7 linked regions of the Macaca fascicularis genome follow. The protein of the gene in region 1 purifies or fractionates together with the protein of each later gene. This does not show direct contact. Links are inferred from orthologs where the notes say so. Each region holds a gene or a part of one and is shown in the gene's direction. Other genes may lie near its edges. The genes, in order: ZRANB1, STRN, CTTNBP2, MAP4K4, GCC2, CTTNBP2NL and STRN4.

Region 1 (4,244 bases):
GAGCAGATGGGACTACAGGCGCCCGCCACCTCGCCCGGCTAGTTTTTTGTATTTTTTAGTAGAGACGGGGTTTCACGGTGTTAGCCAGGATGGTCTCGATCTCCTGACCTCGCGATCCGCCCGTCTCGGCCTCCCAAAGTGCTGGGATTACAGGCTTGAGCCACCGCGCCCGGCTGATCTTTCAAATTCTATCTTCTCCTCACAAAATTTTAAGTATGAAAACTACAAGGTAAAGTCCCACTGGGAAAAAACAAAGATCTCTTGCTAGAAAAATTTCCCATACTCATGGGGTTTTAACAAATGGCTGGCTTATTTTGGCTATTTGGTTATTTTTACAGTACAAAAAGAAAGAAATACACATATCTGTTTAGAACTTGGTCCCAGGGGATTCTCCTAAGCAGTATGTTTTCCATAGCTGTAATTTATCCTCGGCCTGAAGATAGGTAAGGCTTATTTACAGAAATAAGGCTTATTAGGAAAGGTTTATTTCTAATTTACAGAAAAGGTATCCATAAGAAGGTTGGATTTTCCCAAGACTAGCGCCAGTAAGTCGTGGAGGAGAGCAAGACGCAAGGTCTCCATGACTTTTCATGGCGTGTCTATCTACGTACGCACACATGTACCATGCACAGAGCAACGAGAAATATACACATACATCCATATACACGGATAGCCCCAGCAAAGGCAGGGGTAAAAATCGGACACTGCAAAACATAAATTTAAAAAATCAAACCATCACAAAGCACCTAGAGCTTTGTCTTCCCTGGTGTTTTATGAAGAGCTTCAAAGTCCTTAAGAAAAAGTAAAGCAGCATTTGGGTTATACGTAGATCGCTTAGGCTACGTGAGACCTGGGGGTTAACTTAAAACTCCGGCGCATGTGTCGCAGAGACGAGGCAAAGCGCGCCTCCAGACACTGACGAGGACGCCCTCCGGGCCGCCGTCAGCCCGCGCCCCCGAGCGCCACGCACCCCACGGCGGTCCGGCACCCTCAGGCCCACAGCGGTCCGCGGAAGGGAACCAGCGCGGGGCCAACGCGCGCCACCGACTCACAATCGAGGCCGCGCTCCGGCTGACGTCACCCTCTTTCGACCCGCCCCCTGAGCCCGGAATGAGGCGGCCGCTCATTGGCTGCGCCGCCGGCGGCCTCGGGGCCAATGACAGGGCGGCGAGCGTCTGGGTCCGGCCTTGACGTTGTGCCGCTCGCCGCGGGGTTTATTTGGCTCCGGGTCCCTCGGCTGCCGCCATTAGGGGTCCGCAGCCCCGCGGCCGCCTCCCACACCTCACTGCCCCCGCCCCCCGGGGCTCCCCAGCCTCCGCGCCTCCTCTCCGCCCCTCTACCCCGGCCTCCGGCAGCCAGGAGCCGCGCGCGGACCCGCGGAGACCATGTCCTGACTGAGGGGAGAAGGCGGAGGCGGCAGCAGCGGGGCGGGCGGCGGCGCGGAGGGAGGCGGAGAGGGGACGGGCTCGACTCGTCGCCGCGGGCTGCGCGGGGAGTCGCCGCCGCCGCCGCCGCCGCCGCCGCCGCCGCCAAGCGCCCGTCGGACGGGGAGGAGGAGCAGGAGCTGGAGGGGGAGCCGCCGCCGCCAGGTAACCGGGCCCTGGGGGGCGCCCCACCGCGGCCTGCCGGGTCCCTCGCTTCCAGGCGGCGCCCAGGTTGCTGGGCCTCCCGGGCTGCCCGCCCGCCCGGCACCCCGGGGGCGGCCGCGTCGCAGGCGCGGGGAGGGCAGGGGCCCGGGCCGCCGCTGTCGGCCCTTCCATCTTAGGCGCTCCGGGTGCGGGGACGGCCCAGGGGCTGTGGGAGGGCGGGTCCGCCCAGCTTGTTTACCGACCGCCGGCCGGCCGCGGCTGGACGCCGTGCGGGTCCCGCCGCCGCTCTTCCGCCAGATTTCCCCACAACTTCTTTTCCTGCCGGAGACGGGTTAGCTAGTGGGGTTTCGGTCCCATTCCGCAATAGGCCGTAAACACTTGGGTCCATCGCCACAAGTTGGTTCTGGTCTCCAAACTTGTGTTTCAGTCCCTCGGCCACTTGCTTTCCACCTCCTGCGGTGGCCTCCAGTTGCCATTTCTAGGAAAATAAAGGTGGGGGACGACGAGGCGGGTGGGGAGGAGGAGCTGGAGCTAGTGGAAAGATTCGTCTACCCCTTCTGCTCTAAGTAACGAGTGTTCAGTGCAAGGATCTGTTTCTTCTCTGCTGTGGTTTGGTGCGGGTCATTTCACAGACAAAAGAACTGTAGTGAATGCTGGCATTAAGCGCAGGGAACAGGCAGTTTAGGTTAAGCCTGGAAGTTTGAACCGGCCCATTATCTTTGAGGTACACTAGTGTTTTGAAACTCTCTTGCTGAGAATTGTGTATTTCCGTCAGTTGATTACCCTTTTCTATAACTCCGTAGACTGTCGATTTAAGCGCCGCCCCATTTTACCAGTATTTTGGTTTCACCGTGTTTATGATGATGTTAATAAATCTAATATGCAAAAATACCGTTTTAGGAACACAATTCGAGTTTTTTTTTTTTTGAGACGGAGTTTCGCGCTTGTTGCCCAAGCTGGAGTGCAGTGGCGCTATCTCGGCTCACTGCAACCTCCAGCTCCTAGGTTCAAGCGATTTTCCTGCCTCAGCCTTCTGAGTAGTTGGGACTACAGGAATGCACCACCACGCCCGGCTAATTTTGTATTGTTAGTAGAGATGGGGGTTTCTCCATGTTGGTCAGGCTGGTCTCGAACTCCCGACCTCAGGTGATCCGCCCGTCTCTCGGCCTCCCAAAGTGCTGGATTTAGGCGTGAGCCACCGCGCTTGGCCTGAGAGAAATCTTTAACTCTGGGACCTATTCTGTAAAGAGTGATTTCTTTACCTGTGTGTTTTAGTTAACATCACTTGTGCAGTATCCAGCAGTACCCCTGTTTTGATCAAACATGGATGACTCAGTGTACAAAACATAAACCAGGGGAAACCATAAGGAATTTTGATCTCGCCTTGTGCCAAGGCTCTTGGGAAAGTCATCTGAACTATGGGAGAAATAAAGCTGGATTTTGTCTCCTTGTTATTATTTTGAGTTAAATGAAGTAATTCTAAAAAAATTTAGAATCCTCTTGACTTTTGGCTCTAAAGGTAGGCAGGCTCTTTATACTAAAATTTCATAACATTGTTTTTATTGGGCTGTTGGGGGTTTACGAGATAGTAGGACAGTAATGACACATTTTGCTCTTTTGAGGAGGATGTTATTTGAATGTCATGAAGGATTTTATTTCTGTTGCTGTTTTAGCGCCTTTTATTAATGCCTCAGAGCATTGGGACACCCATTTATTTACTCTTGAAATGTGCTTGGGTATGATGAACTCATTCATAGTAATATATTTTAAGCTCGTGGCCTTGATCCATGTCTGTACGCTGATAGGGGTTATGGCATGTCACATTTAAAGTCTGAGGATTAACATAGTTTTGGAACTCATGATCCAGTTGTACAATATTTGAGGGAAATTGCTTCATATGTGTAATTGATACAGTGAGAGCTTGTTCATGTGCTTTATAATAAATGTAAACTTTAAATGTGAATTACAGAAGTAGACCACTGACCTGGCCGGTGGCTCTTGCCTATAATCTCAGCACTTTGGGAGGCTGAGGCGGGCGGATCGCCTGAGGTCAGGAGTTCGAGACTAGCCTGGGCAACATGGTGAAACCCCGTCTCTACTAAAAATATAAAAAAATTAGCCGCGCATGGTATCGTGTGCCTGTAATCCCAGCTACTCGGAAGGCTGAGGCAAGAGAATCCCTTGAACCGCGGAGGCGGAGGTTGCTGTGAGCCGAAATCGAGCCACTGCACTCCAGCCTGGGTGACTGAGCGGGACTGCATTTGAAAACAACACAAAACAAAAGTAGACCACTATTAATTTGGTTCAGGTTTTTTTTTTTTTTTTTCCCTCCTCCTCCTCCTTTTTTTTTCTTGAGACGCAGTCTCGCTCTGTCGCCCAGGCTGAAGTTCAGTGGTGCGATCTTGGTTTACTGCAAGCTCCGCCTCCCGTGTTCACGCCATTCTCCTGCCTCAGCCTCCTGAGTAGCTGGGACTACAGGCGCCTGCCACCACGCCCGGCTAAGTTTTTGTATTTTTAATGTCACGGGGTTTCACCGTGTTAGCCAGGATGGTCTCTATCCTCCTGACCTCGTGATCTGCCCTCCTCGGCCTCCCAAAGTGCTGGGATTACAGGTGTGAGCCGCTGCGCCCAGCACCCCCTGCCTTTTTTTGTTTT
Region 2 (3,500 bases), on another chromosome or scaffold:
ACACCTGGCTGAAGACCTACCATCATAGTCTCACATGAGTCATTCGACTGATATTTTTGACCTGAAAATTGCTGTTCTAACTTAAACAATTCCTTTTCTTCTTTAGTAAATGTTTAGAGTTGTTTGAACTTCTCAGATGATATATGGTATTTTGGGTAAAACCTATTTTTATTTTTGCTACTGTATTGTATGGTGGTTTGATAATGTCTTAATTTATGCTCTATTTTGTTCTGATGAGGATTTTAAGAGTTTGTCACTACTGTTTTTAAAAGCAAGTAACTATTTTTAAATTTTTTTTAAAAGACATGGTCTTGCTCTGTCGCCTAGGTTGGAGTGCAGTGGTGCAGTCATAGCTCACTGTAGCCTCAAACTCCTGGGCTCAAGAGATCCTCCTGCCTCAAGCCTTCCAGGTAGCTAGGGCTAGAGGCATGCACCACTGTGCTTGGCTAATTGTTAAAAAAAATTTGTAGAGGCCGGGCGTGATGGTTCATACCTGTAATCCCAACACTTTGGGAGGCCCAGGCGGGCGGATCACTTGAGGTCAGGAGTTTGAGACCAGCCTGGCCAACGTGGCAAAACCCCATCTCAACTAAAAATACAAAAATTAGCCAGGCATGGTGGCATTAGCTACTTGGTAGGCTGAGACAGGAGAGTTTGCTTGAACCTGGGATGCGTAGGTTGCAGTGAGCTGAGATTGCACCACTGCACTCTAGCCTGGGTGACAGAGCGAGACCCCTGTCTCAGATTTTTTTTTTTTTTTTTTTTTTTTAAAGAGATAGGGGTCTTGCCCTGTCGCCCAGGGTGGTCTCAGACTCCTGGCCCCAAAGGGTCCTCTCACCTTGGTATCCCAAAACACTAAGATTACAGGCATGAGCCTCCGAACCTGGCCAATTCTTTCATTTATTCAATGAGTATTTATTATCATACATGATTGAATATAAATCTGAAAAATGTCTTGTACATGTACTAGTCAATACAGTTGACTTGTTTCTTTTAAGAAAATTACCCCTTTAGCAGCTAGGGTTTGAACTACTAAATTCATCTTACTGAATCACAAATGTTTGTCATATATAACCACCTCTAGGAAACTACTCAAAGACCATCTCTGACGTTTGTCAGAACAATTTGCATTTATGGAGAGTGACATTTTGTTATTGACCAAATTAATAAAATCATTAATATGACATTTTGCTTTTGACTGATTTTTCTATGATGGTTGTTGAAGGACTTGGATTGGTATGTTCAAAATGTTACAAAATAGGATATTTCAAGTTATTCACAAAGTAAAACTGACATTTTTGAAGTACACAGTTCACAGCTAATGAAAGTGTTCAAATGGACACTTTAAATTTTCTCACCAGGTGTGGTGGCTCATGCCTGTAATCCCAGCATTTTGGGAGGCCGAAGCGGGTGGATCTCCTGAGATCAGAAGTTTGAGATCAGCCTGGTCAACATGGTGAAACTCCATCTCTACTAAAAATACAAAAATTAGCCAGGCATGGTGGCAGGCACCTGTAATCCCAGCTACTTGGGAGACTGAGGCAGGAGAATCGCTTGAACCCAGGAGGCGGAGGTTGCAGTAAGCTGAGATCACGCCATTGCACTCCAGCCTGGGCCACAGAGCATGACCCCATCTAAAAAACAAAAAAACAAAAACAAAAGCAAAAAATTTTCTTTACCGGGTGCGGTGGCTTACGCCTGTAATCCCAGCACTTTGGGAGGCCAAAGCAGGTGGATCACTTGAGGTCAGGAGTTCGCGACCAGCCCGGCCAACATGGTGAAACCCCATCTCTACTAAAAATACAAAAATTAGACAGGCATGGTGGCACGCATCTGTAATCTCAGCTGTTCGGAAGGCTGAGGCAGGGAGAATTTCTTAAATCCAAGAGGTGGAGGTTGCAGTGAGCCAAGATGTCACCACTGCACTCCAGCCTGGGCGACAGAGCAAGACTGTCTCAGAAAAAAACATAAAAAAATAAAAAATATTATCTGAAGTAAACATTTTTAGATGAAGTATAATATACCTACAGAAGAGTGCTGATATTACAGCTCAGTGAATTGTCATCAAGGTAGAATTATTACCCTCCCATGTCACCACCCCTTAAGTCAACAAGTAGAACATTACCAGGGCCCTAGAAGTCCTGTGTTGCTTCTTTTCTTTAATCACTACCCCTCTCCTGCCCAGCAGAGGTAATCCTGACTTGTAACACCACATATTGATTTTGTCACATAAACAGGCACATTTTAGAGTTTGACCCATTTTCATTTGAAATTTTCTATACTCTTCTAGGTTATAAAATTAATGAATTATATTTTGAATGAGACCAGCACTTGTTACATATATTTAGTAATTAATAGAAATTGTTTAGGTAATTAGCATGAAATATCAAACAAGGAAAACTTACTTTCCTATAGTCATTATTTTTTATATAGTGAAAATGAAAGGACAGTGGATTCTTAGATTTGTTTCCTGTTTTACTTTTCTAATTAGTTGATGCCTTTACCTGTGGTTAAGATATGGAAAAAGCAATAAATTATTTAGGATTTTCTGCCCACTGAATTTTATTGTGTTTAAAAGCATTTAAAAACGATTAAGTGTATACGTGCACTATAAGAAATTTGATGCAAGCAAATGAAACTAAATGTTGGCTCCTTAGAGATTTTTAAATGTTTCCTTTGTCTTCCCTCTTCAGTGGAAGCATTGACATTTCCTCCTTCTTCTGGAAAGTCATTTATCATGGGAGCAGATGAAGCCCTTGAAAGTGAACTGGGACTTGGAGAACTAGCAGGCCTTACGGTGGCCAATGAAGCAGACTCCCTAACTTACGATGTAAGTAGTAGTTTTGTTTTTGATGTTTTTACTTGGTTTTTAAAAATAAAAACTTGCGCTGGGCACAGTGGCTCACGCCTGTAAATCCAATGCTTTGGGAGGCCGAGGCGGGCGGATCACTTGAGGTCAGGAGTTCAAGACCAACCTGGCCAACATGGAGAAATGCTGTCTCTACTGAAAATACAAAAAATGAGCCAGGCATGGCGGCAGGTGCCTGTAATGCCAGCTACTCGGGAGGCTGAGGCAGGAGAATTGCTTGAGCCTGGGAGGCAGAGGTTGCAGTGAGCCAAAACCACACTACTGCACTCCAGCCTGTGCAACAGGGTGAGACTCTGTTTCAAAAAAGTAAAATAAAATAAAAAGTTGATTTTATAGAAAATGAAGACAGTGGTAAAACTTCTTTACAAATATAGAACTTGGTTCAGTTTCCATTGAAAACTTTGAAAGATACATAAAGAAAAACTAACATTTTTCCATAACCTAGAGATGAAAATTATGGGCTTTACCTAAATCCATAATTTAGTATGATTTGTGTATTGGTTTTTGATAGGGGAAAGAATTCCTTTTTCCATTACCAAATTTGAATTTTGTTTTCTGTTTCAGGGCACCAGCAATTAGTTGTAATTCATGCCTACCTAAACAATATTTGCTTTGCTTCTTTAGTACATAA
Region 3 (3,168 bases), on another chromosome or scaffold:
ATTGAAATACTCTGAAGGGAAAGATCACCAATGTGTGACTTATAGAGGGCTAAGAAAAATACTACCATTTAGGACAGCAGTCCCCAGCCATTTTGGCCCTAGGGACTGGTTTCTTGGAAGACAATTTTCCACGGACCTGGGTAAAAGGTATGATTTCTGGATGAAACTGTTCCACCTCACATCATCAGGCATTAGATTCTCGCAAGGACTGGGCAACCTAGATCCCTCACTTGCACAATTCACAAGAGGGTGTGCACTCCTATGAGAATCCAATGCTGCTGATCTGGCAGGAGGCAGAGCTCAGGTGGTAATGCTGGCTTGCCCCCGCTCACCTCCTGCTGTGCTGCCCAGTTCTTAACAGGCCATGGACTGGTCCACAGCCTGTGGGTTGGGGACCCCTGATTTAATTGGTCAGTGGAGGAAAAGGATATTGAGGAGTTAAGCTAGGGGTTCTTAATTTTGGCCACATATTAGAGAAGATTTTTTAAAATCCTATGTCCATGCCACACCCCAGAACTATTAAATATGAATCTCTGGTAATAGGGCCCAGCCAATGACTGTTAAAGCTCCCCCAGGTGATTCCAATATCATGTAAGACGATACCCAGGAGAATGCAACTGCCAGGTGAAGTTAGATTTTTCCTGTTAAATTTTAGTTTTGTTTTAAATCTTTTAATGGTTATATTGCTGTTGGCTGCATTATTACCTGTGAAGAGGGGAAGTTATTAAGGTCAGCTCCTTCAGAGGCTTTCAGAGTAGCTCACTTAGTAGGAGTCATATCATGTTTGTTAGTTTGCAGAATTTGATGCAATATAGGGGAAAACACCTTGAGTGGAAGTTGGGAGACCTGAGGTCTTGTCCCAGCTTCACCACTCCGTTCACTGTGGGCAAATCATCTTACCTATCCAGCTTTCAGATTCTTCATGGGCAAAAAGAGACATTGACCAGGTAATCACAGGAGTTCTGAAACACTAGAGAAAGGAGATACATGCAGCTTCCAAGTATGGAAGATCTTGAGCAACCTAATCATAGATGAATGTAGGCTCTGCTAGGGAAGGGATGTTTCTCTTATGTTTTCTGCTCTATGCCCCCAGATTATTTGATTATTGAGTAATAGGTCACTTTTAGGACATGAAAGTAGAAGGCAGAAAAGTTAGGTAACTTACCCAAGGTGACAGTCTGCAGAGCTACCTACAAATTGGACTACTCCAATTTGGTGATTTCCTCATGCCTGTAATTTTGTGAAGTTTCTGCTGGTAAGGAGAGCGATGCCTTAGCACTTGATTCACTGACTCCTATATTTAGCAATTTTGTAACACCAGACGGGGACTAATGAAAATCATGCAGTAAATCTATAGGAAATTAATTACTCAGCTTGTCCTCTCCATTTTCTTTTGATTTTTCATGAGAACCTATAGTTTTAGAAACTCCTGCGCATTTGCTCAAAGAGGAGGCAGGGGTAGGGCTCATAACAGGAGAAGTTGGTGACAATGGCAAATGTGATAAACTTGTGTGGTTTCTCGTCTCTTACAGGAGGTCAGTCCTCTCAGCAGCCATCAAACTACTGAATGCAGCAACAGTAAATCAAAGACTGAGTTGGGTGTTTCAAGAGTTAAATCTTTTCTTCCTGTTCCTAGAAGTAAAGTCACCCTGTGTTCCCAGAACACCAAAAGAAGCAGCAGCAGCAGTAATACAAGGCAAATAGAAATCAACAACAACTCAAAAGAAGAGAATTGGAACTTACACAAAAATGAACACCTAGACAAACCTAACAAATAGGCCTGCCTACAATATTCTCACTATTAACTTCCTCTGTTTCACACAGAAACCAAGGACAACAAGATATAAATACCTTTAAATGGATAAAATGTTTTCACTGTAATATAAGTTATGAGTGCGGGACCACTATTCAATTTTTTTTGTAAAGAATGTATTTATAACCAACATTTTGTTGCTTTTTTTTTTTTTTTAAATTCTGTAGGATTGAACTTCGATACCAAGAAGTTATGCCAACTTTTCAAGTAGTTTTATAATAGAAAAAATTGTAATAGTTTTAATCAAGATGTTCAGGGGTATTAAAACAGAACTGTGTACTGTATATCTGTATATATGTATATATGTATGTATATTTAAGGAAGTCCACAAATCATACTACATACATGCTACAAAATGTATAACTTTGGCTTAGATAACATGTACCATTTTAAATGGAGATCATAATTTTATGTTCACTTGATGGGGAATGACTAGAATGGGGCAATAACAAATCATTTCTAAACAGTTATTTTCCATTAAAAGCCATATTAAGTATTTTGCTTGTTAAATTCTAGTTTTATGTTTTAAATCTCTTAGTAGTTACATTGCCATTTGGTAGCATCATGTATATATTTATGCTTATGAGTTTGCATTATGACTCCTGTAAAATATGAAATTATAATGCAATAAAAGTGTTATCTTTCTTACAAAAGTTTTGTACCTAAGTGGATATAAATAACTGCATAAATGAATAAATTAATTCAGAATTAACTCCTTCAATATTATTTCTAGCAGCACAACTGATAATAAAATTGATATTTTCTACAAGTGTTACTTCTAAAATTACAGACAAAATTACTTATACAACTCAGTTAAGATGCTTTGACACTGAATAAAATATTGATTTAGTGAAATCATTTTGCTGTACTTTTTATCTATAGCTCTTTGTAGTCTATGCAACAGATAATTTGTGTTCAATTTAGTAATGCTCATAAAACTTGCCTTCCATGTTAGTATTTCACTAGCTATTCACAAGATTCAACCCTATTAGAAATATCTTAAATACTTAAATGGAGCACCAGGAATTGGGTGCTCAGGGGTTAAAACATCTTCTTTTTCATAAATACCAAAGAAGTATGATTGTACCAGGAATCATTTACTTGTCCAAAGTCATTGAAAGCCTTTTTTTGGCCAGAATGGTTATTTACAATGAAGTATACATACCTGCATTGTATTGCTATTACAAAACGGCACATACCTTAAAAATAACAATGTAAAGATTATGTCACTGATCTTGAGAACAAAACTGAATGCTCTCAAAATCATAGATCATATCTACATTCAGGTGGTTCTAATGTGTTTTTTTTTCCTGCTCACATACACCTGCTTAAATTATATCTAATTTGATTTGTTA
Region 4 (3,500 bases), on another chromosome or scaffold:
TACCGCCCCGGTGTGTATTCTGCCTCTGCCAGTTCCTGCTTTGGATTTGGTATTGACCAGAAAAGCCAGTTTTATGCAGAACGCATTGAATGTTTTGTGTTTTGTTTTCTTGTAAGGTACAGTGGTCCCACCTGGCATCTCTCAAGAACAATGTTTCCCCTGTCTCGCGATCCCATTCCTTCAGTGACCCTTCTCCTCCCAAATTTGCACACCACCATCTTCGTTCTCAGGACCCATGTCCACCTTCCCGCAGTGAGGTGCTCAGTCAGAGCTCTGACTCTAAGTCAGAGACGCCCGACCCTACCCAAAAGGCTTGGTCTAGATCAGACAGTGACGAGGTGCCTCCAAGGGTAAGGAGCAGAAAGACAGATGTGTGCTGCTTTTTTCCTTTTTGTTACTTTTTTTTTAAGATTATTTATTTTAATTATGGGGATGCAACTTTACCAAATTTAAAGGGGCATTGAAATTTCAAAGGGACTTTTTAATGGTGAGGATAAAGTTCCATAGTTAGACAGTTTTACTCAGCCAGTGGCCAGTTAGCGTTTTATTGTTGTTAACTCTAAATAAGGCAGCAAAATGATGTAAGAGTATGTCTACAAAGAATAGGCTTCTTAAACAAATTCATAATTTATTTTAGCAGTTTTTCTATATGTTTATGCAGAAGCTATGCAGTTTCGCAGTATTAATGTCAAAACTTTTAGAAAAGGTCTTATAAGAAAAATTTTATTTTCTTTTTAAATGTAGGGGATTTTGTTTTGTTTTTGTGTTTACATGTTAGTGAAATTAAACAAAAGAGCCAATGTCAATTTATTTTTCCTCATTTGGAATTTGCTTCCTCTGAATATTTTCTTGCTTCCTGCCAGTCTTTGCTTCCTGCCAATCCATTTATAGACCATTGTTTGGTTTCTTTGAGCTTATTTCCTGATTCTCACGTTATCTCAGCAAATGCTTTGTATGTCCCTGCTACCAAGCTTCAGTCCAGACATCATTTAAATGTTACAGGAGCATAGAAAGACTGTTTGTACTGGCTTCTTGGATGCCTGTGACTAAATTTTCTGTCCGATTGTATCAGTGTAGGACCAGGGAAGGAGTGGGGGTGGGGAGTGGAGGTGATAGGAAGGACTGCTTTTAAATATTAGGACTGCTTTAAAAATATATTTTGGTTGGGAAATATTTTTTTTTCCTTCTCATGTTTTCAATAATTTAATTGCTATATTTTCTACTTAAAGGTTCCTGTGAGAACAACATCTCGCTCCCCTGTTCTGTCCCGTCGAGATTCCCCACTGCAGGGCAGTGGGCAGCAGAATAGCCAGGCAGGACAGAGAAACTCCACCAGGTAAAAGACAAGCGAGCGCTGAGAACAGGCCTCCTGTGCAGTCTACCACAGCCTTACATTGTCTGTTTCATAAAAATGCTCTTAAACACAGAAGTTCTGGGGCAAGGAGATTATTAGGTATAAAAGGAAAAGCTGCCATACAATCCATCAACGTGGATGGCATCAAGTTGATGTGTAGTAAAAAGTGGGTTTGAATCTGGGTGTGCATGAATATAACAACTCTGAAATTTAAACTACTTTTCTCTGTATGAGTAAATGGAGGGAGCACCAAGGAAGGGAGAGAAGTTCTAAGAGAACTGTGATCAGAGGGAGCTTTTCATCTAAGGGACGTTGTAAGGCCTGTGGCATAAAACAGAAATCACAAACAGGTTACTGAAGAAGTCACTTGTTGACTGACAGTCTGCAATAAGCAAGTGAATTAACCAAATAATATCCTTTTTAGGTTCTAGAGCTGCTCTGTCCAGTACAATTAGCTACAGAAGTTTCCTTAAATTTAAATTAAAGGTTAAATTTAGTTAAAATGAAATACAGTGGGAACTTCATTCCGTAGTGCACTGGGTATATTCATGAGCTCTATAGCCACATGTAGCTAGTGGCTATGATATTATCCAGCTCAAATATAGAACATTTTCATCATAACAGAAAGCTTCATTGACCAGCACTATCATAGGGAAGAAAAGCTGATTATGTTGAATGTTTTATATCTTAATCATCACTGAACCTCCGAAGTTAGCCTTCTGCGCATGGAACCTTGGTCTGACTTGAAGTGTCAGATGGATGATGGCCCAAAAGCTGCACAGAATCCTCAGCACTGCTAGTGGCAGGGGGACTGTGGTGTTCTTCTGTGACCAAGTCTGTGTCATTAATCCTTACCTAGCACATGTGTGCTTTGGGTTCATCCATGGCAGGAAATCCATCCCAGTCCATGCTTTCTGTACAATTTCTAACAGCCCATACAAAGGACTATTCTTTGTAAGTGTCAGTTTTTGAGAACAGCAACAGGCAGGTGAGAGCAGCCGCCTAGAAACAGAATATAGTTTTGCGTATAATTATACAAATATGGAGTGTTTTCCTAATGTTAAGAACTGACATGTAGCTGTGACAGAAATGGTGCTACTTCTACACTGAACAGTAGTAGTATATCACGCCTGATGATTTTAGATCTAATGGTAGGATACCATTTAGCATACAAACTAAAAATATATGAGATAAAAATCCATGAATAATGTCATTTTATCTTTTGGTGAATTTAATGTTGAATGCTGTTTATAGACTGTTTTTCTCCTCCCTACATTTTAAAGACATTGGATGGACACACGATGGTACGGCATCTAGAGATGATGCATTAGCTGTTCTTTTTTCTTCTTTTCTCACAGCAGTATTGAGCCCAGGCTTCTGTGGGAGAGAGTGGAGAAGCTGGTGCCCAGACCTGGCAGTGGCAGCTCCTCAGGGTCCAGCAACTCAGGATCCCAGCCCGGGTCTCACCCTGGGTCTCAGAGTGGCTCCGGGGAACGCTTCAGAGTGAGATGTAGGCTGCCTTTCCTTTGCCTTTTCCCTGCTAATGTTTTGGGCTGTGATCCATATATTGGAAGTTCGTCTTAATCTGTGGTTTGCGTGTAGCCACACATCACAAAACAATGTTTTAGCATAGGTTGCCAGTGACAATAATAGTCATCCTGATTTTAATCATAAAGGAGCTAAATTTTGAGAGCTTAATATATACCTAGCACTGTGAGTGCTTTACAATTTAGTGGGATTAACTAACTTTTCCAAAGTAATGGGCTAATGTGTGAGCTAGGATTTGAACCCATTTCTTTCAGTCTGGGCTGCAGAGCCTATACCGTCATCAGTATTGGTTATTTTAATGTACTTGTAATAGATGAGTGAATATTCCCTCTATTGTATTACTGACATACTGTGACAAGGTATACATTGTGAACACGTGTCAAAGTGAGTGTGATGATGGAGGGTTTAAGTAAAAGAGTCAGGAAGGCTGCTGGAGCCCTCCTTGGGCCCTCTCTGCTCTGTAGTTCATACCTGCATGTGGAGAGCCTGCCATGAATGCGCAGACAGGAGTGGGCGGGGTGGGCAGGGCAGCTTCGTAATACACATCCATATGTTGATATGTGTCCGTCCGTCTTGTCCCTTTTAAACCCAATAGCGT
Region 5 (4,002 bases), on another chromosome or scaffold:
CTCCGGAGCTGCCTCGGCTCTGCTTTTTTCCTCTTAACAATTTTGTCCTTAGGCTGCTTTTTCCTCTTAACAATTTTGTCCTCAGGCTGCTTTCTACCATAGCGGCAGCTGTCTGCCAACAGCAATCAGGGCTGTATGTTTCTTCAATCACATCCAAAGAAAGAGAAAATAGTATCACTAAACCAAAATACTAAATAGAAGTCTCAAAATTTCTGACTGTACATCTTAGGTCACACACCACCCCTGAACCAATCCTAGTCAAACACTATGGGTGATACACCCTGTCAAAGACAAAGAGTAGATGTCCACAATAACACTTCTTTTACCTAGTAATAAGCAGCTACCATTTACTGGTTACATACTGTATGCTGCCTCTTCATCCTTTTGACCATTTAAACTACAGGAAACTGAGTTATCTTCAGGTCACCTTAGTTATGGGAGTGTATGGAAAACATGAATGGAAAGGTAAAAGTGTAGCAAACCACTTCAGCAGTTAACAGAAAGGCTCTCAGAGCACTGGACCGCCAATCAGGACACTGCAGCAGCTCTGGGATTCGACCACAGATTCTTCGGCGTGCCCTCGTGCCCCCTATTCTACAGAGTCTCCTCCCACAGCTGCCCAGCTCCCTGGCAGACTATCTTGCCTCTACCACATCACCAGCAGTACTGGGCGGCTACAGGGCAGAGCTGTCCCGGGACCTCCTCACAGCCTCCAGAGTCAAGGAACGCCTCCTCAGGGAAGTCCTCCACCTCATCACTGACCTGTGAGTCACGGAGCTCCCGGGCACCATGCTGGCCACAAATGCCTAAGGAGCCACCCCCGGAAGCAACTGTGGGTCCCGCAGGCACTCGCAGGCTAGTAGACACCTTCGGGGCCTGAGGGACTTGTACTTCAATCCAATGCTCTCCTCACTCTCACAAGATTTTACAGACGTGGAAACCGAGGCCCCAAGGGGTAATCGGCCCGCGTTCCCATGCCAATAACCGGCGGTGGCGGGAACCACACCTACCCTGTGACCCGCAGGCCCAGGGGTCGAGCCCCAGGTAGAACGCCTACACCGACTCCGCCCTCGGCGCGGCGCGGGAAACCTTAACCCGGACACAGAGGCGTAAGCGGAAGTGCTGCCGAGCCGTAGCTATGGAGACGCGGGGGGCGGGCCGCCCGGAGAGCGCGACCTTTGACCTGCAGTCGAGCCTACGTCAGAGGCTGGCGCAAACAGAAGTGCAGCGGTGGCGGCGGCTGGTTGCGGGCCAGCGGCAGGCAGGCGGCGATGGAGGTAACTCAGGTCGGGCCCACTGCCTCCCATCAAGCCTTCCGCGCAGCTACTTGGGATGTGGGGGTGGGCCCGGTGGGAGGGCGCGGAGGGTACCCCGAAGCCCGCTCTGCAGTCGCCTGCCACATCTTCCCTAAACTCCATCCCTGGCGGTTACCTGTCCCCATAGAGCCCGTTTGTATACGATTTGCCACAGCGACCGCCTCCGTCCGCCCTCATTCTCTGTCTCACAAGGCTTTCCACCACTTGATTCCATAGAAGGTTTTTCCCTGTAAAGGTTCCACGCGTTCCGTGTGGGATTAGGAAAAGAGTTCTTCTGACACCTGCGTTTGATTTTGTTTTGTAGGATCCTGTTCAAGATGGGGTGGCTTCACCAGCTACCCCTGGGACCGGGAAATCTAAGGTGAAGAGGATACTTGAATAGCGGGCTCCCTGAAGACTGGAAGGGTGATGAATTGGAAAACTTTGGCATGAAGAAGGGGGGCGCTATATATATATGTATATATACACACACACATATAATTTATTTTTTTAATATCCTTGCTCCAAGGGATCTCAATTTTAGTTGACGCAGTCACCAATCCATTTCCTGTTTCTTTCTCCCCCGCCCACCCCGATATAAAAAGACTTTTTGTTTACTTCCTGCTCCTGGTTAGCACTGCTGGGAGATCCTGCGATTTTTCGAACATGAAACAAAGCAGTCTAATTTAAGAAGGTTTATATAGTGATGTAGTGGAAGGAGCAGTGACATAGTGTAGGGATCAAGGGATTCTGATCTGTGGGCTCCAGTTTTTACATTGTCAAAGCGTTGAATTAGTCCAGTTTTATGGCCTTGTACGGTGTTTAACATTTAATCATGCTAAACGATAGTAGTTTATTGCTAAGGTTTATTGCTTGCATGCTAAATTTCAGGCACTTGCCTAACCACTCAGTTACTTCATTTAAGCTTCATGATAACCGTGAGATAGGTACTGTTGTTGAGAAACCTGAGACCACAGGCTTAAGTAATTTTCTCAAGTGGTAAAGCTTAAACCTGAGACTACAGGCTTAAGTAATTTTTTCAAGTGGTAAAGCTTAATTTTTTAATTAAAGCCTGAATGTCACCTGGTTCATCTTGCTGCTGTAATTATGCTTACATTTTCTTGTGACACTTTCAGCCTTAAATAGAATGAAATACTTTTACAGCTCCAAGCAATTTTAAGTAGCATTAGCTCCAACCCACTAATTTTACAATTAAATCAAAAGCTAGCAATGTCAACCTGTAACATTAGCTATAAGAGGATATGCCCTGGTATTTGCGTTTAATAGTAGTCGCATAACTAATTTTTAGTACTTGCATAGCAATTACAGAGTTGACGTTGCATTTCCTTATTTTAAAAGATGTGGCCGGGCGCGGTGGCTCACGCCTGTAATCCCAACACTTTGGGAGGCCGAGGCGGGTGGATCACCTGAGGTCAGGAGTTTGAGACCAGCCTGGCCAACATGGTGAAACCCCGTTTCTACTCAGACTACAAAAATTAGCCGGGCGTGGTAGCGGGCGCCTGTGATCCCAGCTATTTGGGAGGCTGAGGCAGGAGAATTGCTTGAACCTGGGAGGCAGAGGTTGCAGTGAGCCAAAATCGTGTCATTGCACTCCGGCCTGGGCAATAGAGCGAGACTCTGTCTCAAAAAAAAAAAAAGTGGAACAAAGTATGCTGTTGGCATAAAGATTTATTCTGTAGAATGTTTTTGTTTTCTGGCAGACATTGTTTGTTTTTTGTGGTATACTAGAAACATGAGTTGTAACAAGTTGGTAACATAACCACATCTTTCAGCTGGAAACATTGCCCAAAGAAGACCTCATCAAGTTTGCCAAGAAACAGATGATGCTAATACAGAAAGCTAAGTCAAGGTGTACAGGTATTGGGTTGAAAATACTCATCTTGATCACAGTCTCTTTAATCGTGGTTTAAAATGGTAGTTTTTAAAATAATGCATTGGCTTGTTTTTGTTTTCCAGTGATTCCAAGTACACCTTAGTGTAGTAGAATCTGTTATTTAACATTCTAAAAATTTACCTCTGATTTCTAAATTATTCCCACGTCTTTAAACCACAGTGACTTTTGAGTTGTTAAAGTCAGGGAGGAGGATTTTTAAAGTTTGTGCAAGTTAAGTGTTTTTCCTTCATGTAGACTTTAGATTATTCTGAGTAAAGCGTTTTTTCAAGAGAAGTCAGTTGAAATGTTAGAGACAGAAGATAAGCCCAAAGAGATGGAACGCTTCCTCAATTAAAATAATAAAAGATTTCCATTTATAGACATTAAAGTATATTTATCTGTTGAAGTTGATTGATTCCCTATTCAGTTTTCTTTTTATTCCAGAAGGAAAAAGATCTTAGATCTTTTTCTTAGTATATGTACATGAGCTCTTGAATTTCCAGTGACTTACAAATATTAACTGCTTAGCCTAAAAGCCGAGACTTGTTTTCTATTAGAAAAGATAAAATTATGTCTTGGGAGTTTGGATCACTTTGCAATAAAGAGAATAATTTATTTGGAAAGAAGTTCTAGGCCTGAGATCTAGGCATTCGCTAGTGAAACACTTCGATTAACGTTTCGTTTCTTCTTTTTTTTTTTTTTTTTGAGACAGTGTTGCTCTTGTTGGCTAGGCTGGAGTGCAGGGGCACAATCTCAGCTCACTGCAACCTCCCCTTCCTGGGTTCAAGCGATTCTCCTGCCTCAGCCTGCCAA
Region 6 (4,183 bases), on another chromosome or scaffold:
TACTAGCTCTATGACTTTATTTGACTTCTCTGAATCTCTATCTTCTCATCTGTAAATTGGACACAATGGTGTCTATCCTACACTGTACGACAGATTTCTCATACAGTACTGAAGATGACATCAAATACCATTTAAATGAAAGTACATGGCACAGTGATAACATGATAAATACTCGTTTACTTCTTTCAGACTATAATCGCACAGACTGATCACATCCCTCGGTCAGACTGTAAACTGCATGGGGCAGGCGGCATCTGCCTTGAGGACTGTTTGCCTAGGCAAGTACTAGGTCCCTAATGCTGTCTTGCGAATTATAATTGCTAAGTTTAGGGATAATGTATTAAGTGTACTACATTATTTGTGCATTATAAATATTCGTCTCAAATATTTACTATATTGTATTTAAAATAATGTGGTTATCGTAAATGTAACCAGCTGAATCAATCTGTGAGCTGACAGCCATTCTGTGGAAATGGAATTCAGAAACTTTGACTTCAGGTAGGGATACAACTAGTTATACATCCACTCCCCTTTCTGAGTTACTCGGTCCTGCCTAAGACTTGCTGCCACCAAGATCTGCATTCCTGTGTTCACAAGGCAGACATTCCTTGCATCCTCTGTACTCTCCATTGTTTAACTTCACGGCAAACACCATTCCCCGCAATATAATGAGGCCAAGGACAGAAAAAAGTCGCCTCAGCTGGCAAGCATAGTGTGGAAAAACCTGCCACACAAATTTGCAATTATTCGATTTCTGCCTGGAAAGCAGGTCGGCTGGATTTATGTCCCCCAAAATTAGTATTCTCTTCTGTACAAACTGTGGTTGAGAGAAGGGTGATCTCCAGGTGTTTCATCTTTGCACCCTTGCTTGCAGCACCACGCCCACAGTTGCGTCCAGAAAAAAGAAAAAAAGGGGGGAGCAAGGAAGCCAGGTTTTCAACAACTAATTCATTCTAATGCAGACATCAAAGCCCACTTCATTTATTAACATTCTGGAAAAAATCCCAATCGATCAGGCCACCAGAGCCCTCCTTTCCTAAACTCCCCGTACAGTCAGGGAAAAGCACTAAGCACTAGCCACGGTCCTGCCCAGAAACCACGCAGAGGTGGAAAGTTGCAGACCAAGGGCCGGGAGGGGCACGAGCCCATCCTGAAGCCCGGGACCGAGGACGGCGCTTCCTCCCGGAAGTGACGCGAGCTCAATCCCAGCCTTGCTCTTCCCAAACAAAAGGGATCTTGGGGCCCCGGGAGGAGCCTGAATGACATTGGAGAAGCTCCGCCTCCAGCCGGCGCGGATTGGGGACAATGCTGGAGAAGCAAGGAGGCGATTGGCGCTGGTGAATGCCAATGCCCCCGCCGGGCGGCTGAGGGGGCGGGGCCTCTGCCGCTGTGGATGGGGAGTAGAGGCGGAGGGGAGCGGAGCCCGGTGCGTCGTGGAAAGGTAGGAACCACACTCCCTGGGGCTTGATGATGGCTGAGAGGCCGGGTTCTCAAGAGCAAAGCAAGTATAGGGGCACCGGTAGCTTCTCGCCGCTGTCCTAACGGCCTCTGGGCCCATCCCCTGAGGGGGCGGGGCCATCTCCTCCACCTCCCGGTATTCCCCGAGGAGGCGGCTCCTCATCCTTTGAGGGTCCTCACAGCTACTTTTTGTCCCTCGTCGATTCCCAGCTCCTCAGAAGGGGCTTCCCTCTGATACCCCTCATTCAAAGGCTCTTCCCACCCCGCACCTCAGCCTTGGAGGAGAGGACTCACAGGTACCGTACCGATTCTCTAGGCTGCCGCCCCCAACCCCGTTTTGCACCCCCGGAAGGCCAGACATCCCTCCCTACACCTGTCTCTGCTCTCCAGGGTGGGACTGGAGCTGCTTTCCTCCGTAAGATAAAATTAGTGTTTCCCAAAAAAGAGGGATGGGGCGAAGCGAAAATCAAAGACCGACCTAGACAGCCAGCTTTACCGAGGAAACGGCTTCTCCCACTTAAGTTCTTCCCATCCCCCATTCTCTGATGCTCAGTCTTCCTCCCGCCGCCCCTCACATCCTCTGGCCTCTTGTGAGGAGTCGAGAGCTCTCCTGTTTTGGGACTTCTTTGGACTCTGAAAGAGGGAGAACTAGGACCTCCTCTCCCTCGCCCTTTGTACCTTTCTTCTACTTTCTGTTCCTTCTGGGAGAACCCAGCCTCTAAGGGTTTCTTAGGTTTGAATTGCGTTTCATTTTTCCTTTTCCACCCTATTTCTTCTCTGAGAACTTGATGAAAAGCCATCTTATATTTCACAGTGAGGTGGGTGTGTTGGATATCTGCAGAGTTGGCTTTGTGTGGGCAGGAATGCAGTGTATGTTGCTTGACAGTCAATGAATAACACCATGTTTTCAAATGAAACAGTATACGTAAGTAAATAAATAGCAGTGGATTAGGAATGAGTATATCCCAGTCTAGGATGGGCTGGTCCATTGCTCAGGGAGACTGCAGTTAACCTTGAAGGTATACTGCAGTTTGAAACAAAAGGCAGGAAGTGTTTGAAGAAAATTCAGGGTCAGTCATCTAGGCTTATGATTAATCTAGTCCTGTGTCCTTTGGTTACTCTCTAACCCCTTTTTTATAGTGTCTCCCCCGCCCCCAGGAAACATTCATGTATATTTTGATTGGTTTTACGATCATCTATCAAAATTTAGACGATGAAAAGTAATTTTTTAATCTCAGAGATCAAAGTAAATAAAGGCAAGGTGTTCTAGCTATTCATGTTTACCAAAAAGTGCCTCTAGTGTGCTCCTAAAGGTTTTGTCAAGTGGCCTTCATTTCAGCAGGTGCAAAGTGTTGATTTTGACCTCAAGTTAATGTCGTTGAATCCCCAGTAATCATCTATCGCTAGCACTTTTATATATTAAAATTTACCATATTTTTAGCATAGTTTTTTTTTTGCTTTCAATCTCAAGTCCACCTCCCCGCTGTCAACTATAGCCAAAGCTGATGGCAATGAAGTTCAAGGAGTTGGAATCACAGAGGGTGATTGTAATGACTGTTGTCTTTTACCTTCTTGATTAGACTTCCTGAGGGTAATTATTTTTGAATAGTTAGAATTGAAGGTTTCAGAGTGCTCACAGATCTTCTTAGTGAGCGTTTCCAAATCTCCAATAAGAAAGCACAAAGAAGAAACTGGAGGGTGTCTCTAGCAAACACAATGTGTGCTGCAATAGAAGGGTAAAACATGGGCTCCCTGCAATAACAGCAGAAAAAGCTAAAAGTAGAACAGAAAATCCCAAAAAGATAAGTTGTATTACATCAGCAGAGAACAGAAAATAAACTAAGGTAAGAGACTAAGCAAACCAAAGTTGTGGTGATTGCTGAGCTTTAATAGGAAAAAGCAAATAATGTTCTTTTATTATTTAGCACAGTAAGCAAGATCTGTTTGTTACACTTTTGGGTCTTGAAAATCTTTCCTTTAACCTTTTCAACACCTGTTTGGTCATGCCAGATGAAGAAAAGCGTAGTATGCAGGGGATATATGTCTGATCTCTCTCCTTGAATTATAAATTCTTTGAGGGCAGATAGTAGTATTTTTTGTTTTTCGTCTTTGTCTCTTTCACAGTTCCTGGTATATAGTATGACTTAATGAGTGTTTGTTTAACTTAGTTTGAAGCTGTCACCTTAGGGTAGACTGAAAGGCAATGCACTGATTAGATGTGGCACAACTTGTTAGTATAAACCGTCTACTTGTTGTCTTCATTTAACTTGATTTTCCCCATCTGCTGTCTTATGAAATTCCAGTGTCTTAAGTGACTAAAATTTTGAATTTCTTATAAAGAAATATCTGTGAGGCAGGATGTGGTGGCTCATCCCTGTAATCCTAGCTACTTGGGAGGCTGAGGCAGGAGGATTGCTTGAGCCCGGGTGTTTGAGGTTACAGTGAGCTATGATCATGCCACTGCACTCTCCAGCCTGGGCAGCAGAAAGAGACCCTGTCTCTTAAAAAAAAAAAAAGCAGTTAAAAAAAATATATATATATATAAAATCTACTGGTTAGAAAATACTATTTTTACTGTCATGAAATTTGCACCAGACTTAAGAACATAATGAGTGCTAATCATTTCAGGATTTTATTGTTTTAAATATCTGACCCGATAGGAATGAAGTGAATTTAGAAGAGCTCACTAGGGACTGATTGTTTACTGATTTTTGCTCAAGAATAG
Region 7 (4,240 bases), on another chromosome or scaffold:
CGGTGGCTCAAGCCTGTAATCCCAGCACTTTGGGAGGCTGAGACGGGCGGATCACAAGGTCAGGAGATCGAGACCATCCTGGCTAACACGGTGAAACCCCGTCTCTACTAAAAAATACAAAAAAAGCTAGCCGGGCGAGGTGGCGGGCGCCTGTAGTCCCAGCTACTCGGGAGGCTGAGGCAGGAGAATGGCGTGAACCCGGGAGGCGGAGCTTGCAGTGAGCTGAGATCCGGCCACTGCACTCCGGCCCGGGTGACAGAGCGAGACTCCATCTCAAAAAAAAAAAAAAAAAAAAAAAAAAAAAAAAAAAAAAAAAAATTAGCCAGGCGTGGTGGCACATGCCTGTAATCCCAGCTACTCAGGAGGCTGAGGCAGGAGAACGGCTTGAACCAGGGAGGCAGGGGTTGTGGTGAGCCGAGATCGGGCCATTGCATCCCAGCCTGGGCAACAAGAGTGAAACTCCGTCTCCAAAAAAAAAAAAAAAAAAAAAAAATTCCCCTCCTTGGTTGGGCTTGGTTCCTAGGGTCACTCGAAGGGGGCTTCTCTATTACCATAGTAACCAGGCCTTGACCTTGCCTGTTTCTCGTCCCCCAGAGGATGGTCCAGGCCCTGTAACCATAGCAACTGCCCCTCAGCAGAGCATCTCCTCCTCTAAATAAAAACACCTGGTTGGTTTGGTGCATGGGCCTCCCACAATGGGAAGGGGAAGACGGTTACCATGGTAATGCCAACTAGGTGGCTATGGGGGAGGGGCTGGGGAAGAGGTGCTTCTCTTAGAGATCAGCGTCTTTGGGGCTGGGGTACTTTCTACCTGAAGGCTAGGTGTGGGGGGTTGCCATAGTAACCAATGAGGAAAGGAGCAGAAGGACCACCAGGGACTTAGGTTACCTTAGCAACCTTCTCCTGGTGCAGAGTCCGAAGAGGTTTGGGGCTCCATAACCACAAAGGTGGAAGGGAGGGGAAGGCTGTCCCCCACCAACTCGCCCCCACCAATGGGGAAAGGTTACCATGACAACCGACCTGGACAGGAATCAGAGAGGATGGGGCCACTGCTGGTCGCCCTTTCTCTCAGAGTAAAAGTAATTGTCCAGGAGAGTGATGTTTGGGTGTGGAAGGGGTAAGGCTCTTTTTCTGGGGCGGAGTAGGAGGAGGGGGGCAGAAAGTGGCCCCTTCCTCAGTCTCACTCCAGCGAGGGGGACCGTCGTGCGGGGTCTGGGTCTCCCTCGCCCTCCTCGGGGCGCGATCTCCCTCTCGCCGCCCCCCGCGCGGGCACGCTAGCCCTTGGGGTCGACCCGGGTGGGCGAGGCTCGTGCCCGGCCTCGAGCTCGCCACCAGCCCCTCTTCCCACTGTCCTCCGTCAGGCGCGCGCGCGGTGGTGGTGTGTGTGGTGCGGGGGGGGGGTGGGGGGTGTTGGAGCGCCCGCGCAGGCGCGCGAAGCACAGCGGGCGCGCGGGCCGGCCCCGGGGCCTCCATGATGGAGGAGCGAGCGGCCGCCGCGGTCGCCGCCGCCGCCTCCTCCTGCCGTCCGCTCGGCTCAGGCGCGGGCCCTGGCCCCACTGGGGCGGCCCCGGTCTCCGCCCCAGCCCCCGGGCCGGGCCCGGCAGGTAAGGGAGGCGGCGGCGGAGGCAGCCCTGGGCCCACGGCGGGCCCGGAGCCCCTGAGCCTGCCGGGGATCCTGCACTTTATCCAGCACGAGTGGGCGCGCTTTGAAGCCGAGAAAGCCCGCTGGGAGGCCGAGCGCGCCGAGTTACAGGTGAGCGCCGTCCCGGGACCCCCGACCCCCCAACCCCACCCGGCCCGGCCCGGCCCGGCCTCACCCGCCGCCGCCGCCGCCGCCATCTTGGAGCAATGGCCGCCGGGACGGCCGGGGGGGGGCGGGAGGGGACCGCGACGGTCCCGGAGGGCGAGTGAGGGGCCGTTCGAGGGGTGTCCTGAGGGCACCCCGGGTGGGAGGGGACCGGGACGGCCCGAGGTGGGAGTGGAGGGACCGGGAGTGGGAGGGATCACCGGGACCGGCCGAGAGAGAGGGGCCGAGGTACCAGAACTGGCTGGGAGTGGGACTGGGACTGGAACTGAGCGCGCCGGCCGCGGGGCTCCTGAGAGAGGCGACTCGGGCCCTGGAGGGGAGCCCAAGAGAACTCGGGAAAGGGTGTGGAGAGGAGCTGGAGGGGTCTGGGAAAGACCTGAGTGGTCTCCTGTGGGAGTGAGCAGAAGCTCGGCGGGCGCAGAGGGACCCCCGACCCCGGCCCTAGCCAGGTGCAGGTGGGAAGTAGAAGCGTCCGAGGGGGGACTTGGGACACGCTGGGAAAGAGCGGATCCAGACCGGGAACCGGGAGGAGTTAGGGAGAGGAAGTCCGGGAGCCTGAGATGGATGTGTTTCGGGGCGACTGGACAGTGGGCACGGAAGGGTGGCTGTGTAAGGACCCGAGAGGTGGGAAGAGAGTTTCGAGGGGTCCAGGATGAAGGTGTGTGCCTTTCCCTCTTAGGGGAAACTTTGGGGATCCCGGGCGTGTGTGGCTGCAGAGTGCAGGGAAGGGATCTTTGGAGTGGAAGTGTGGACAGAGCAGGAGATGTACCCTAGGAGCCTGGGTGGGAGAACTTGAGAGTGGAAGTTCCACTTGGGGGTGTGCAGGAGTGGGCGCGATGGCACTGAGATGGGACGTGTGTGTAGGATGTAGGAAGAGAACCCTGAACTGGAGTGTGGGGGTGTCGGGCATGTCCAGTATGGAGGTGAGGGTCCTGGGATGGTGCCAATGAGGACGAGTTAGGTGTTACCCTGGGGTGATGCTTTAGGGGGGAGAATTTTGTAGAGCCCGAAGGCAACATGAGGAGGCATCTCAGAGAGAACGGGGGTAGGGTGGGGTTGGGGGGAAGGAGATATGTTTGTGGAAGTCCTGGGAAAAGACCCCATGGTTTGTGGGGTAGCTTGGGACAGGGATGTGCTCCGGGCTGATGTATGGAAGAGTCTGAAGAGTTGGGCTGGGGTTTGTGACCTCGTGGAGCATCAGGTCCATTGGCAGTGACTGGAGGATCATGGAGATGTCCGGATTTGAAGGGATTAGGAATGGCCCACTGGAGGTCTGAAGATTCTTGGACTGGGTTATTATTAGCAGAAATTGTCAGTACTTTTCTGCTAGTATTCCTTGTAGCAGCCCACGTTTCCCCTTCCGATTTGCCGTTTTCTATCTAGTGGAAGCTGGCACCCAAATAAATAACTGATGAGAATTTTGTTGGTAGGGATGGGGTGCGGTGGTTCATGCCTGTAATCCCAGCACTTAGGGAGGCTGAGGTGGGAGGATCCCTTGAGCCCAGGAGTTCCAGGCCAGCCTGGCCAACATAGCAAGACCTCATCTCTACAAAAAAGTACAAAAATTAGCCGGGCGTGGTGATGTGCACCTGTAGTCCCGGCTACTCAGGAGGCTGAGGTGGGAGGATTGCTTGAACCCCGGAGGTTGAGGCTGCAGTGAGCCATGATTGCACCACTGCACTCCAGCCTGGGCGAAAGAGTGAGATCCTATCTCAGAAAACAACAACAACAAAAACGGTATTTTGTTCGTAGGATGAGTAAAGACCTCAAGTAACTCTCCCCCTGCCCTCACTTGTGGTGGCTGAGGCTTGGAGCTGGGGTGGGAGCAGAATCCTTATGTAACTGCTCTCACTTGTGTCCCACTCTCTACTTCCGAAGCTCTTTCCCAGCATACATCTCATCAGATCTTCTCAGTGCCCCGTGATGTAGGCAGAGGCAGTGTCATTACCTCACTCAGCAATAACGGCACCAGCTGCAATTTAGTGAGCACATACCATGTCTGGGGCTGTGTATCAAGTACTGTAGATACGAGCTGTCATTTCATTCTTATGGCCTTCTGGAAGGGTAAAGGATATTCCCCCTGCCTTTAAAAAAAAATCACGAGGAAATGGAAGTTTTGAGAGGGTGATTTATCGAGGATCCCAGCAGATGAGCAGAAGGGCTTGTCTGTGGACCTTTTTTTTTTTTCTTTTGAGACAGTCTCACTCTGTCACCCAGGCTGGAGTGCAGTGGCATGATCTCGGCTCATTGCAACCACTGCCTCCCAGTTGCAAGCAATTCTCCTGCCTCAGCCTCCCAAGTAGCTGGGATTACAGGTGTGCACCACCACGCCTGGCTGATTTTTGTATTTTTAGTAGAGATGGGGGTTTTGCCACGTTGGTCAGGCTGGTTTTGAACTCCCGGCCGCCAGAGATCCACCTGCCTCGGCCTCCC

Evidence for each region.
Region 2: the proteins of ZRANB1 (region 1) and STRN purify together in Homo sapiens (affinity purification with mass spectrometry; 4 studies listed by BioGRID and IntAct, with this or other methods). This does not show direct contact. The link is inferred for Macaca fascicularis from reciprocal best matches to the Homo sapiens genes ZRANB1 and STRN.
Region 3: the proteins of ZRANB1 (region 1) and CTTNBP2 purify together in Homo sapiens (affinity purification with mass spectrometry; 3 studies listed by BioGRID and IntAct, with this or other methods). This does not show direct contact. The link is inferred for Macaca fascicularis from reciprocal best matches to the Homo sapiens genes ZRANB1 and CTTNBP2.
Region 4: the proteins of ZRANB1 (region 1) and MAP4K4 purify together in Homo sapiens (affinity purification with mass spectrometry; 3 studies listed by BioGRID and IntAct, with this or other methods). This does not show direct contact. The link is inferred for Macaca fascicularis from reciprocal best matches to the Homo sapiens genes ZRANB1 and MAP4K4.
Region 5: the proteins of ZRANB1 (region 1) and GCC2 purify together in Homo sapiens (affinity purification with mass spectrometry; 3 studies listed by BioGRID and IntAct, with this or other methods). This does not show direct contact. The link is inferred for Macaca fascicularis from reciprocal best matches to the Homo sapiens genes ZRANB1 and GCC2.
Region 6: the proteins of ZRANB1 (region 1) and CTTNBP2NL purify together in Homo sapiens (affinity purification with mass spectrometry; 4 studies listed by BioGRID and IntAct, with this or other methods). This does not show direct contact. The link is inferred for Macaca fascicularis from reciprocal best matches to the Homo sapiens genes ZRANB1 and CTTNBP2NL.
Region 7: the proteins of ZRANB1 (region 1) and STRN4 purify together in Homo sapiens (affinity purification with mass spectrometry; 4 studies listed by BioGRID and IntAct, with this or other methods). This does not show direct contact. The link is inferred for Macaca fascicularis from reciprocal best matches to the Homo sapiens genes ZRANB1 and STRN4.

Annotation. Positions count from the first base shown.
Region 1 is NC_088383.1:133,885,944-133,890,187, forward strand, and holds the start of ZRANB1 (ubiquitin thioesterase ZRANB1), read left to right. Parts: upstream 1-1,444; 5' UTR 1,445-1,589; intron 1,590-4,244. UniProt on the Homo sapiens protein: Ubiquitin thioesterase, which specifically hydrolyzes 'Lys-29'-linked and 'Lys-33'-linked diubiquitin. Also cleaves 'Lys-63'-linked chains, but with 40-fold less efficiency compared to 'Lys-29'-linked ones.
Region 2 is NC_088387.1:85,309,222-85,312,721, forward strand, and holds part of STRN (striatin), read left to right. Parts: intron 1-2,693; coding exon 2,694-2,830; intron 2,831-3,500. UniProt on the Homo sapiens protein: Calmodulin-binding scaffolding protein which is the center of the striatin-interacting phosphatase and kinase (STRIPAK) complexes.
Region 3 is NC_088377.1:159,151,941-159,155,108, reverse strand, and holds the end of CTTNBP2 (cortactin-binding protein 2), read left to right. Parts: intron 1-1,532; coding exon 1,533-1,778; 3' UTR 1,779-2,668; downstream 2,669-3,168. UniProt on the Homo sapiens protein: Regulates the dendritic spine distribution of CTTN/cortactin in hippocampal neurons, and thus controls dendritic spinogenesis and dendritic spine maintenance.
Region 4 is NC_088387.1:6,341,035-6,344,534, forward strand, and holds part of MAP4K4 (mitogen-activated protein kinase kinase kinase kinase 4), read left to right. Parts: intron 1-116; coding exon 117-350; intron 351-1,229; coding exon 1,230-1,336; intron 1,337-2,712; coding exon of another isoform or gene 2,713-2,715; coding exon 2,716-2,864; intron 2,865-3,497; coding exon 3,498-3,500.
Region 5 is NC_088387.1:15,941,707-15,945,708, forward strand, and holds the start of GCC2 (GRIP and coiled-coil domain-containing protein 2), read left to right. Parts: upstream 1-1,202; 5' UTR 1,203-1,271; coding exon 1,272-1,286; intron 1,287-1,620; coding exon 1,621-1,677; exon of another isoform or gene 1,678-1,721; intron 1,722-3,088; coding exon 3,089-3,173; intron 3,174-4,002. UniProt on the Homo sapiens protein: Golgin which probably tethers transport vesicles to the trans-Golgi network (TGN) and regulates vesicular transport between the endosomes and the Golgi.
Region 6 is NC_088375.1:121,993,843-121,998,025, reverse strand, and holds the start of CTTNBP2NL (CTTNBP2 N-terminal-like protein), read left to right. Parts: upstream 1-1,383; 5' UTR 1,384-1,754; intron 1,755-4,183. UniProt on the Homo sapiens protein: Regulates lamellipodial actin dynamics in a CTTN-dependent manner. Associates with core striatin-interacting phosphatase and kinase (STRIPAK) complex to form CTTNBP2NL-STRIPAK complexes.
Region 7 is NC_088393.1:54,747,706-54,751,945, reverse strand, and holds the start of STRN4 (striatin-4), read left to right. Parts: upstream 1-1,440; 5' UTR 1,441-1,471; coding exon 1,472-1,753; intron 1,754-1,817; exon of another isoform or gene 1,818-1,854; intron 1,855-4,240. UniProt on the Homo sapiens protein: Calmodulin-binding scaffolding protein which is the center of the striatin-interacting phosphatase and kinase (STRIPAK) complexes.